Linked DNA regions of Ovis aries. The protein of the gene in region 1 purifies or fractionates together with the protein of each later gene. This does not show direct contact. Links are inferred from orthologs where the notes say so. Each region holds a gene or a part of one and is shown in the gene's direction. Other genes may lie near its edges.

The links.
Region 2: the proteins of TCTN2 (region 1) and TMEM231 purify together in Homo sapiens (affinity purification with mass spectrometry; 3 studies listed by BioGRID and IntAct, counting the BioPlex papers as one, with this or other methods). This does not show direct contact. The link is inferred for Ovis aries from reciprocal best matches to the Homo sapiens genes TCTN2 and TMEM231.
Region 3: the proteins of TCTN2 (region 1) and TCTN3 purify together in Homo sapiens (affinity purification with mass spectrometry; 3 studies listed by BioGRID and IntAct, with this or other methods). This does not show direct contact. The link is inferred for Ovis aries from reciprocal best matches to the Homo sapiens genes TCTN2 and TCTN3.

What each region holds. Positions count from the first base shown.
Region 1 is NC_056070.1:52,039,837-52,042,412, reverse strand, and holds the end of TCTN2 (tectonic-2), read left to right. Parts: intron 1-196; coding exon 197-322; intron 323-965; coding exon 966-1,054; intron 1,055-1,720; coding exon 1,721-1,824; 3' UTR 1,825-1,942; downstream 1,943-2,576.
Region 2 is NC_056067.1:2,346,153-2,350,456, reverse strand, and holds the start of TMEM231 (transmembrane protein 231), read left to right. Parts: upstream 1-1,401; 5' UTR 1,402-1,487; coding exon 1,488-1,626; intron 1,627-1,733; coding exon 1,734-1,903; intron 1,904-4,304. UniProt on the Homo sapiens protein: Transmembrane component of the tectonic-like complex, a complex localized at the transition zone of primary cilia and acting as a barrier that prevents diffusion of transmembrane proteins between the cilia and plasma membranes.
Region 3 is NC_056075.1:16,989,521-16,993,176, reverse strand, and holds part of TCTN3 (tectonic-3), read left to right. Parts: intron 1-94; coding exon 95-189; intron 190-478; coding exon 479-632; intron 633-3,656.

The sequences.
Region 1 (2,576 bases):
TCATTATACAGCTGTCTCAGCTTGTATGTGCATTTGAAAATTTACACACTACAAAGGGGGAAAGGCAGCACCAGGAAAACGTGAATCGTGTGTAGGAGAAGCCCAGCTCACGTTGTTGTTGTGTCAGTTACCCAGTGTTCTTAGCAGACCAGAAGTGAGCGAGGGCTTTGTCGCCTGCGTGACCTTTCCCTCCCAGGTTCTCCTCCGTGACCTGGCAGTTCCAGTGTGGACTGACTTGTGAGGACAAGGCTGACCTCTTCCCCATCGGCGCATCGGTCCAGTTTATTAAGATACCCGCACAGTTACCCCGTCCCCTTACAAGGTAATCTGTTTGCTGACCTCAGTGACATGATCAGGAAGCAGAAAAATATATGTTCAAAACTAAGAAGTTTAGGGACCTCCCTGGCCATCCAGTGGTTGATACTCCCTGCTTCCACTGCAGGGGGCATGAGTTTGATCCCTGGTGGGGGGAGTAAGATCCCACATGCCACGTAGTGCTGCTGAATAAGTAGAAAACAAACAAACGCTTCACTTCTTTAATCAAGTTTTAGATGAGGTTTTAAAAATAGCTTTCTTTATTTGTTTTTGGCTGTGCTGGGTCTTCACTGCTGCCCCTGGGGACTGTTTTTAGTTGCCGAGAGCAGGGCCTATTCTGCAGTCTTGGTTTGCGGGCGTCTCATTGCAGTGACTTCTCTTGTCACAGAGCACAGGCTCTAGGCACGTGGGCTCAGTAGCTGCGGTTCTCGGGCTCTAGAGCATGGGCTCAGGAGCTGTGGCACACGGGCTTAGCTGTTCCATGGCACGTGGGACTTTCCCTGGTGAGAAGTTGAACCCACGTCTCCTGCATTGACAGATGGATTCTTTACCACTGGAGCCACCAGGGAAGCCCTTTAATGAGGTTTTGATGCAACTCATCAAAAGCATGTTTTGTTATAGCTATTATAACCTTCTAAAATGTTCTGTAGATTCCAGATCAATTTTACAGAGTACGACTGTAACAGAAATGAGGTTTGTTGGCCACAACTTCTGTATCCACTGACCCAATATTATCGAGGTAGGTAAAGCCCTTTTCTGAAATGTTTATCATTATGTTACGTTAATTAAAAAACTTTTGAAAAAAGTATAAATGTCACAGGAAAGTTAAAACATATAGCAAAGTTTTAAAAAGAAAACATGTACTGATGTTGCCATTTAGAAATGATCACTCTTTATGTTTTGGCTTATTTCTACCTAGTTACCCAAAAAGTTAAGAAATAACAACATTCCTGGATATTCCTTGGTGGTCCAGGGGTTAAGACTCTGTGCATTCACTGTAGAGGGCATGGGTTTGATCTCTGGATCCCTGATCAAGGAACTAAGATCCCATAGGCTGTATGGCTCAGCCAAGAATGCTCACAAGACCAAAAAAATGTTGCTTACACTGCTGTATTTAAAATGGATAACCAACAAGGTCCTACTGTACAGCACAGAGAACGCTGCTCAATGTCATGTAGTAGCCTGGATGGGAGGGGAGTTTAGGGGAGAATGGATACATCTATAGATGTATATATACATGTATGTATGTATGTATAGCTGAGTCCCTTTGCAATTCATCTGAAACTATCACAACATTATTAATAGGCTGTACCCCAATACAAAATAAAAAGTTTTAAAAAATAAAATAATGATGATGAAAATGACAAAAAAAAAAAGTTGCTTAGTTTGATTCATTGTCTTGCAGGAGAGCCTTACTCTCAGTGTGTTGCCAAGAGCTTACTACTGGTATCTTTCATCGTATTAGCTGTATTCCTCAGTAACCCCTGGATCAGAATACACAAAGCTTAGAATTCAACTACCGTCTGACTTCTTACAGATCATCAGCTTCTACGTCAGGGATTTGTTGTCCTCCTGTGTGCCTCTCTGTAAAATCTTAATAAATGAAATATTTTATTTTTATAGAAAATTTTATTAAATGCTCCACAAATTAAATTCACATATGTAGCTATCCAGACGTTCAAAGCAATTCAGAGTGGGTGTTCTCACCGATGCACCAGAGTGAGCAAAATGCATGAGAGGGTCAACTGTGTCAATAAGTGTAATTAGGAACTTATTATAGATAAGTTTCATCACAGATTATGAAAGTCATAGGAGTTTTGGTCCAAATGTTATTCCTACCATAGAGAGTCAGTCTTTGAATTTTTTATGTATTTCTGTTGCAATGATAAGTTTCCACTATTCCAAAGAAAGGATTAGAAATGCATTAAAGTCTATTGCCTTAAAATATATTCATAACCTCAAAGTTGGGAGTTATGTTTTATTTGGTGGGAATTTTTAGGACTTCGAGCCCGGGAGACACCGTCTCAAATGATCCTGAGAGAATTGCTCTGAGGAGGTGAGGAGAGGAGTCACGTTATATAGAAGTTTTGCAACAAAGGGCAAGTAGTTTGAGCATCAAAAGATTATTGTTAATTAAAACCAGATATCCCAAGTGAAGGGATTTTGCACTTTTCTATGTATGGGAAGTTGCAGGAGTCTGGGCCCACTGAAATCATTCCTTTCAAATGTACTTCAGCTAAATAGAGCCACTCTCCTGTATT
Region 2 (4,304 bases), on another chromosome or scaffold:
TTCCCATATGGGCACGTCTTGACCTCTCTTCTTTGCTAGGATCTCAGCTGTTCTCTTCATCGAAAACCCAATTCTAGGTTATAATAACTAAACTTATCATGGTAATCATTTTGAAATGTATAGAAATACTGAATCACTATATTGTATAACAGGAACTAACCTAATGTTGTGGTCAATTATACTTCAAAAACGAACTCATTAAAAAGAGATCAGGTTTGTGATTACCCGAGGCAAGGTGGAGGGAGGGGAAAGTTGGATGAAGTCAGTCAGAAGATACAAACTTCCAGTTATAAGATAAATGAGTACTAGGGAGGTAATGTACAACATGATAAATATAATTAACACTACTTTATTTTGTAGATGAAAGAGTAAATGCTAAGAGTTGTCATCACAGGGGAAAATTTTTTTCTATTTCCTTAATTTGTAATCTATATGAGATGAGAGATGTTCAACAAATTTATTGTGGTAATCATTTCATGATGCATGTAACTCAAATCATTATGTTGTACACCTTAAACTTATACAGTGCTATATGTCAATTATACCTCAATAAATCTAGGAGAAAACCCCACTTCTAGGTTGCCTTCAAAATAGGAGTATTTATGAGTGGATCTCATTCTGAGCACAAACTTCACACTAACTCGGCACTGCAATGTGATCCTTTAGGGCCTTTTGATGGAGAACTTGGCTATTGACTACTTAAAAAAAAAAAATTTCTTCTGCCATGTTTGAAATACTAGAAAGCAGATGGGATGGGACGGTGGAAGCATTCAATTAAGTGTTCAGTTCAGTCGCTCAGTTGTGTCCGACTCTTTGCGACCCCATGGACTGCAGCACGCCAGGCTTCCCTGTGTAACTTTATCTTTGAGGAGGACCACGGCTTCTCCTAAAATAAGTAGCATAAAGCTTGTTCCCAATCAAGATAGCAAAGTATAGCAGAGCTATACAATAATTATCTTTTTTTTTCCCCTCGAACAGCAGGGAGATAGGTCTGTTTCCGTGTCTGCCCTGCTATGGAGTATAGTGAAAGCGATAGAAAATTTGGAAACAAAGGGACCTGGTTTGGTCTTAACCCAGGACCAAGTGTCTAGGACCACGGCCACTTTTTTTTGTTTGCCTCCAACGTACGGTGTGCTGTGATTGGTTAGACTTAAGTGTACAATAAACCACATTGGGGATTAATAGATTTGACTATTAATAAATAGTCAACATTTATGAAAAAACCTTATTTTACAAAATTGTTAACAACGGCCACGGTTTGGGCGCACGGAAACACCCTTTGGGAACGCGCAAGCAGTGTGCGACCACAGTGTACTTGCGGGCCCCGCCCCGTTGGCCACGCCCCCACGGAAAGCCCGCCTGCTCGCTATTGGTCGCTCTCCCTGGGCCGTCGGTTGCCGTGGAGACCACGGCTATGGCAACCAGGAGAAGCCATACTAGGTCGAGGCTCCGGAACTGCCGAGGGAACAAGACCCCGAGTGCTCCTCATGGCGCTCTATGAGCTCTACGCGCATCCAGTGGAGCGGGGCTACCGTGCCGGGCTCTGCTCCAAGGCGGCGCTCTTCCTGCTGTTGGCCGCCGCGCTCACGTACATCCCGCCGCTGCTGGTGGCCTTCCGGAGCCACGGTGAGTCTGCCCCCTCGCCCCGGCCGGTGCGCGCCCCGCAGCGCTACGTGGCTCCCGCGCCGCCTCCCTGACCCGGGTCTCTGCACCCCGCACTCTCGTTACCTCAGGGTTTTGGCTAAAACGGAGCAGTTACGAGGAGCAGCCAACCGTGCGCTTCCAGCACCAGGTGCTGCTCGTGGCCTTGCTAGGATCCGAGCCGGGCGGGTTCCTCGCCTGGAGCACGTTCCCCGCCTTCAACCGGCTGCAGGAGGGTCATCTGCGCGTCCCGCTTGTCTCGGTGAGTGCTTCCCGCCTGGGCCCGGCTGCGCAGACTGGGCTGCGGAGGGGATGGGCGGAGGGCGCGGCCTGACGGGAGGCTCCGGCCCCTGTCCCGGGGAACTCGGTGTGCGGCTGAAGGAGTCACGAACCCCAGACCCGAGCTTGTTTCCTTTCCTGGAGGCCTGTTTGTTGGTACATTCGGCTTCTCCAAGCCGTCCCCCACCCCGGGTAAGCTGGCTGCTACTGTCAGTGTCTCTGCTCTCTGCAGAGTCTCCAACCCCTGACAATTCCTGACATTTCGGCCTGGCCCTTCCTGAGGGAATGGTGGTCGCAGAGTTTGCTGTGTGAGTTGCGTTGTTGTTCATTCCCTAAGTCGTGTCCGACTCTATGGTGGTGGTGGTGGTTTAGTCGCTAAGTCGTGTCTGACCCTTGCGACCCCATGGACTGTGGCCAACCAGGCTTCTCTGTCCGTGAGATTCTCCCAGCAAGAATACTGGAGGCGGTTGTCATGCCCTCCTTCAAGGGATCTTCCCGACCCAGGAATCAAACCCAGGTCTCTGGCATTGCAGGCAGATTCTTTACCAACTGAGCTCTGAGGGAAGCCCCACTCTGCGAGCCCGTAAACTGCAGCACGCAAGGCTTCCCTGTCCTTCACCATCTCCCCGAGTTTGCTCAAACTCCTGTGCATTGAGTCAGTGACGCCATCCAACCATCTCATCCTCTGTTCCGGTCAATCACCCCGTTGTGCCGCTCCGTTGTCCGTGCGCCCACTGCCCGCAAAGAAAGGGCAGGCAGTTTTAGGCGGACTGTCACGGCGAAGCCAACGGGCTGATTGGTTAGCTGACCTCCAGAATGTCCTGCTGGCCAGGCCCGCCTCCCTGGGCTCACCTCTTCAGGTGCCGCTCAGTCCTGCTGCTGCTTCCTGGGGCTGAAATGAAGCATTTTACTGCCTGTCCTGTAGTATCTGGTTCAAGTTAAGTGAGTGCTTCCTTTACAGTCACCCCTTTAAACTCACTTTCTGAAAGCATTTTCCTTTGGAAGTAGGAAAACTCTGGATTTCCTTCTTCCAAAGTTGAATCTCTTTAGATATCTGAGATGATTGGCCTACATTCCAATTTGTGTAGCTGAAAAAAAATAATTTCAGACTTTTATCCCAGTAACTGAATAAAATGGAAAAAAAATTTTTAATGTAATTGGCCATAAATGAATAACCACCAACAAAATATGGTTATGATTACTTTTTATGATTACTTTAATTTGTTTATAATTATAAAAATGCCTGCTCATTGAAAATAGAGTTACAGGTACATATCAGTTCAGTTCAGTTCAGTTCAGTCACTCAGTCATGTCCAACTCTTTGCGACCCCATGCATCGCAGCACGCCAGGCCTCCCTGTCCATCACCAACTCCCAGAGTTCACTCAGACTCACGTCCATTGAGTCTGTGATGCCATCCAGCCATCTCATCCTCGGTCGTCCCCTTCTTCTCCTGCCCCCAATCCCTCCCAGTATCAAAGTCTTTTCCAATGAGTCAACTCTTCACATGAGGTGGCCAAAGTACTGGAGTTTCAGCTTCAGCATCATTCCCTCCAAAGAAATCCCAGGGCTGATCTCCCTCAGGATGGACTGGTTGGATCTCCTTGCAGTCCAAGGGACCCTCAAGAGTCTTCTCCAAAACTACAGTTCAAAAGCATCAATTCTTCGGCACTCAGCCTTCTTCACAGTCCAACTCTCACATCCATACATGACTACTGGAAAAACCATATGAAATTAAAGGCTCAGTTTGGTACATGTATCTAGACTTGTTATAATTAACCTTCATTTTAAGATCTGCTAGGGACTTCCCTGATGGATCAGTGGTAAAGAGTCCGCCTGCCAATGCAGGAGACATGGGTTTGATCTCTGGGAGTCAGGAAGATCCCCTGGAGAAGGAAATAGCAACCCAGTCCAGTGTTCTTTCCTGGGAAATCCCATGGCCAGAGAAGCCTCGTGGGCTATATACTACATGTGGTTACAGAAGAACCAGACACAACTTGGTGACTAAACAGCCAAATATTTCATGATATGGAAACCTGTAATTGATTTACCAGTTTCCTGTTGGTGGATTTTTTGTTTTTACTTTTTCACTATTAGAATATTGCAGTGAACAAGATTTTTACTAAATCATACACCTTTAAACATCAAATTGTGAGGAACTGGAATAGAAGCTGTTTGTTGACATTGCAAAAATACATAGAAAACTAAGCAAGCAAATAAAATAATTGTCAACTCTAGAAAAGTAGAAGGGAAAAATAATCAGAGTTATGAATAGGATTTCAGTTCAGTTCAGTTGCTCAGTCATGTCCGACTCTTTGCGACCCCATGAACCGCAGCACGCCAGGCCTGCCTGTCCATCACCAACTCCCGGAGTCTACCCAAACT
Region 3 (3,656 bases), on another chromosome or scaffold:
TACCAAAGTGTTAAGCAAATATTAAGAAGCATACATTTTCCAATCAGCCTACTTTTTCTTTTATGATCTCCTTGACCATCCCTTTCCACCTCAGATGACCCTCTTACAGAGCCAGGGTGATGGCACTTGCTCTGTTAAGAGACACGAAGTACAATTTGGAGTGAATGCAATATCTGGATGCAAGCTCAGGTAATTCTTTGCTTCCACATCATTTCTAGCAAATTTGTCTCTACCTGTAGGGAATATGTGATGTGGCAACTTTTATATTTTGAATTAGAGTTCAGAGAATGTTAGGAATAGTCTTTAAATAATATTAATGTTGCTAAGAGGTGTTTTTTTTTTTTTTTTTTTTTTGAGTCTTTTATACCTATGAAGGATTATTTCCCACAGTTTATTTTTTGGTATTATTTCTAATGTTTGAATGAATTACATTATGATGTTAGCACTGGACTCCAGACTCCGAGGTGTTTGATTTTAGGCTGAAAAGGGTGGACTGCAGCCACTTGCAGCAGGAGATTTATCAGGCTCTTCATGGAAGTCCCAGACCAGAGCACATTGCCATCTTTGGAAATGCTGACCCAGCCCAGAAGGGAGAGTGGACCGAGATCCTCAGCAGGAACTACAATGTTTCAGTAAGGAAAGAAATACACATTCTGACAAAAGCTTACTTTCCTCCTTTATTTATTAAGATTAAAACCAGACCTGTTTCCATAGTTGGTTTGGTTGTCACAGAAGAAAGATAATGTGGTTGTCCTAAAAGAAAGACTGTAAGAAATCATGGCCATCTGAAGTCATCATTTCAGGTCAGGTGTGTGTGTAGTTATATATGTATATAAAACTTTCCTTACTTAGAGAAAAATCTCAAGGTAGAAGGTCTAGAGAATAGTATTAATGAAAAATAAAAGCCTCAATACCCACTACCCCTGACGAAATCTCATTCAGCTCTTTTCTGTTTTTATTCTTTCCGGTGGCCACATCAGCGCTCGGCCGGTGTACCTCTTGATTCCAGTCTAAGTGAAATAGCGAAATCTGTGTGTCAGAGCAAAAGAAAGAAATCTACTTCCTCTTTTGCCCCCTCTAGCCTGGAGAATTCCATGGACTGTACTTTCACTTTCCCTCCTGGCTTTAATCAACTGTATCTTTAATTTTATTTCCTTTCACTTAAGCTTTTTATTTCTTGTGTAAGTAATACATATGCTTGGCTCAAAATTCCAAAAGTACAAAAATAAAACTCTTTCTCAAGATAGCTCTTCCCTTCCACAGAGGCAGAGTTATTACTTTCTTTCCTTCCAGAGATATTACATGCTTACACAAGAAAATACTCATCTTTTTTTTTTTAATCCAAATGATATAAGATCATAAATACTGCTCTGCACTTTGCTTTTTTCACTTGATCTTGAGAGGTTATTCCATATCAGTATATAATAAGCTTCCTCATCCTTTGCATGGTATAGTTGCATTTTATTCCATTATATGGATAAACCATAAATTATTTAGGCAGAACATTCAGGTTGTTTTCAGCCTTTTGCTATTATACACAGTGTGGCATTTTATAACCTGGTTCAGGCACAATTTTGTACATGTGAAAATAAGCCTATATGAAAAATCTTAGAATTGCTAGATCCAAAGGTATATGCATTTACATTTTTAATATATATTGCAAATTTATTTCCCATACAGGTTGTACCTATTTACAGCCCCACTATCCATCTATGGGATGGCTTGTTACCCATACCCTCAATTCTGGGTTATCAAGCTTTTAATCTTTGCTTATCTGATAAGTGAAAATTAATATCCCATTGTAGTTTTCTTTTTCTCCTATTCTGAGTAAGGTTGAGTATCTTGACATACACTTGAATAATTCTTATTTTCTTCACTATGATTTATTAATATCTTTTTATTGAATTACTAGCCATTTTTATTGAATTACTAGCCTTATGACTTGTAGAAGATCTTTGAGTATGTGAGAAATTGTCTCTTTTCTGTTATGTGATTTATAGATATTATTTCCCAGTTTGTCATTTGTCTTTTGACTTTGTTTATGGTTTTTATGCCACACAGAAGTTGATTTTTATATTGTGAGATTTATCAGTCTTTTTTTTCAACTTTTGAATTTTGGTTCAGACTTGGAAGGCCTTTCCTCTTAGATTTTATTTTTAGAGTGCCCCCTTTCCCTTTCTCAGCACTATTATGACTTTATGCCTTGTATACTTCTTTCCTTTTAGTGAGACTTGGGGGATAAGTAGATGCATGTACTTGATGCAGCCCTTGGACAACTGTAGTCAAATTAAGTTTTCTTAAACCTCATAAAGCCATACCTAGGGAGCATGGTTTGGGGTGATACATACTGAGTATTAAGAAATGGTTAGTGAACAGGACTGAGGTTATAGCGGAATTTACTCTATGGTTATTAAACCTACTATTTACATTTTTAAATCTCATTTTTGTAGAATATTTGATAACACGGAAAAATTTTCCTAATATAGATAGAATAAATGAAAGGAAAAGTGTTCTAAAATATTTGGAAAAAAACACATGAAAAGGTCATTAGTCAACATCATTAGCCATTAAGGGAATGCAAAACCACAAAGACATACCAATTCATACCCACTGGGATGGCTATAATTTTAAAAATGGATAATAACAAGAGTTGGCAGCAATGTGGAGAAATTGGAACCCTCAGACATTGCTGGTGGGACTACAAAATAGTAGAGCCAATTTGAAAAGAGTTTGACAGTTCCTGAATAAATTGAACATAAACACGGTCTCTTCCCCTCTTCCTAGTTTAGACGTGTTATTGCCTATGTCTAAGTCTTACTATAAATAAAAAGTGTTAAGTTAGAAAAGCAAGGCATATTTGAGGATAATTGGTTTTGCTAAGTTATCGTAACTTCCTGATTTATGTCCTCACTTCCACCGGTCCTTCCTGCATCTTAGAATTAATTGTCCTGGAGTCAGACTGCTTAGTTGGGCTTCATAATGTAACCCTGAAACATCCTTCCTTAATCTTTCCACTGTTCCTGCGTTCAGATCCATTGCTTCAGTCAAGTGGTCTGCCCAGGGCCAATGCCTCCCACATACCTGGCACGTAGGAGACATGACAACTGTACTTAATCAGTAACTGCCCCTTCATGGCATGTGCTATTCTAGTTGTTGTGCCATCTCTCTACCTAAATTTTCCTTTAGACACCATTTCCTCCATCACGTATTACTCATCCCGGTTCTATGAAGCCATCTTCAACCGGCAATGGCTGCTGCTTCTGGCATTCCACAATAGTGACTCCACCACTCACTGAGCACTTCTTATAACTACTGTACATCAGCTTATTTGTGTTTTATTTATCTCTATGTTAGTATTTCCATTTTATTTTCTATTTTAGTATTTCCATTTTAGAATATTATCTTTTTTAAGATCATGGACAATAATAACCTCGGATATGCAGGTGACACCACCCTTTTGGTAGAAAGTGAAGAGGAACTAAAGAGGTTCTTGATGAAAGTGAAAGAGGAGAGTGAAAAAGCTGGCTTAAAACTCAACATTCAAAAAACTAAGATCATGGTATCTGGTCCCATCACTTCATGGTAAATAGATGAGGAAACAATGGCAACAGTCAGAGACTTTATTTTTGGGGCTCCAAAATCACTGCAGATGGTGA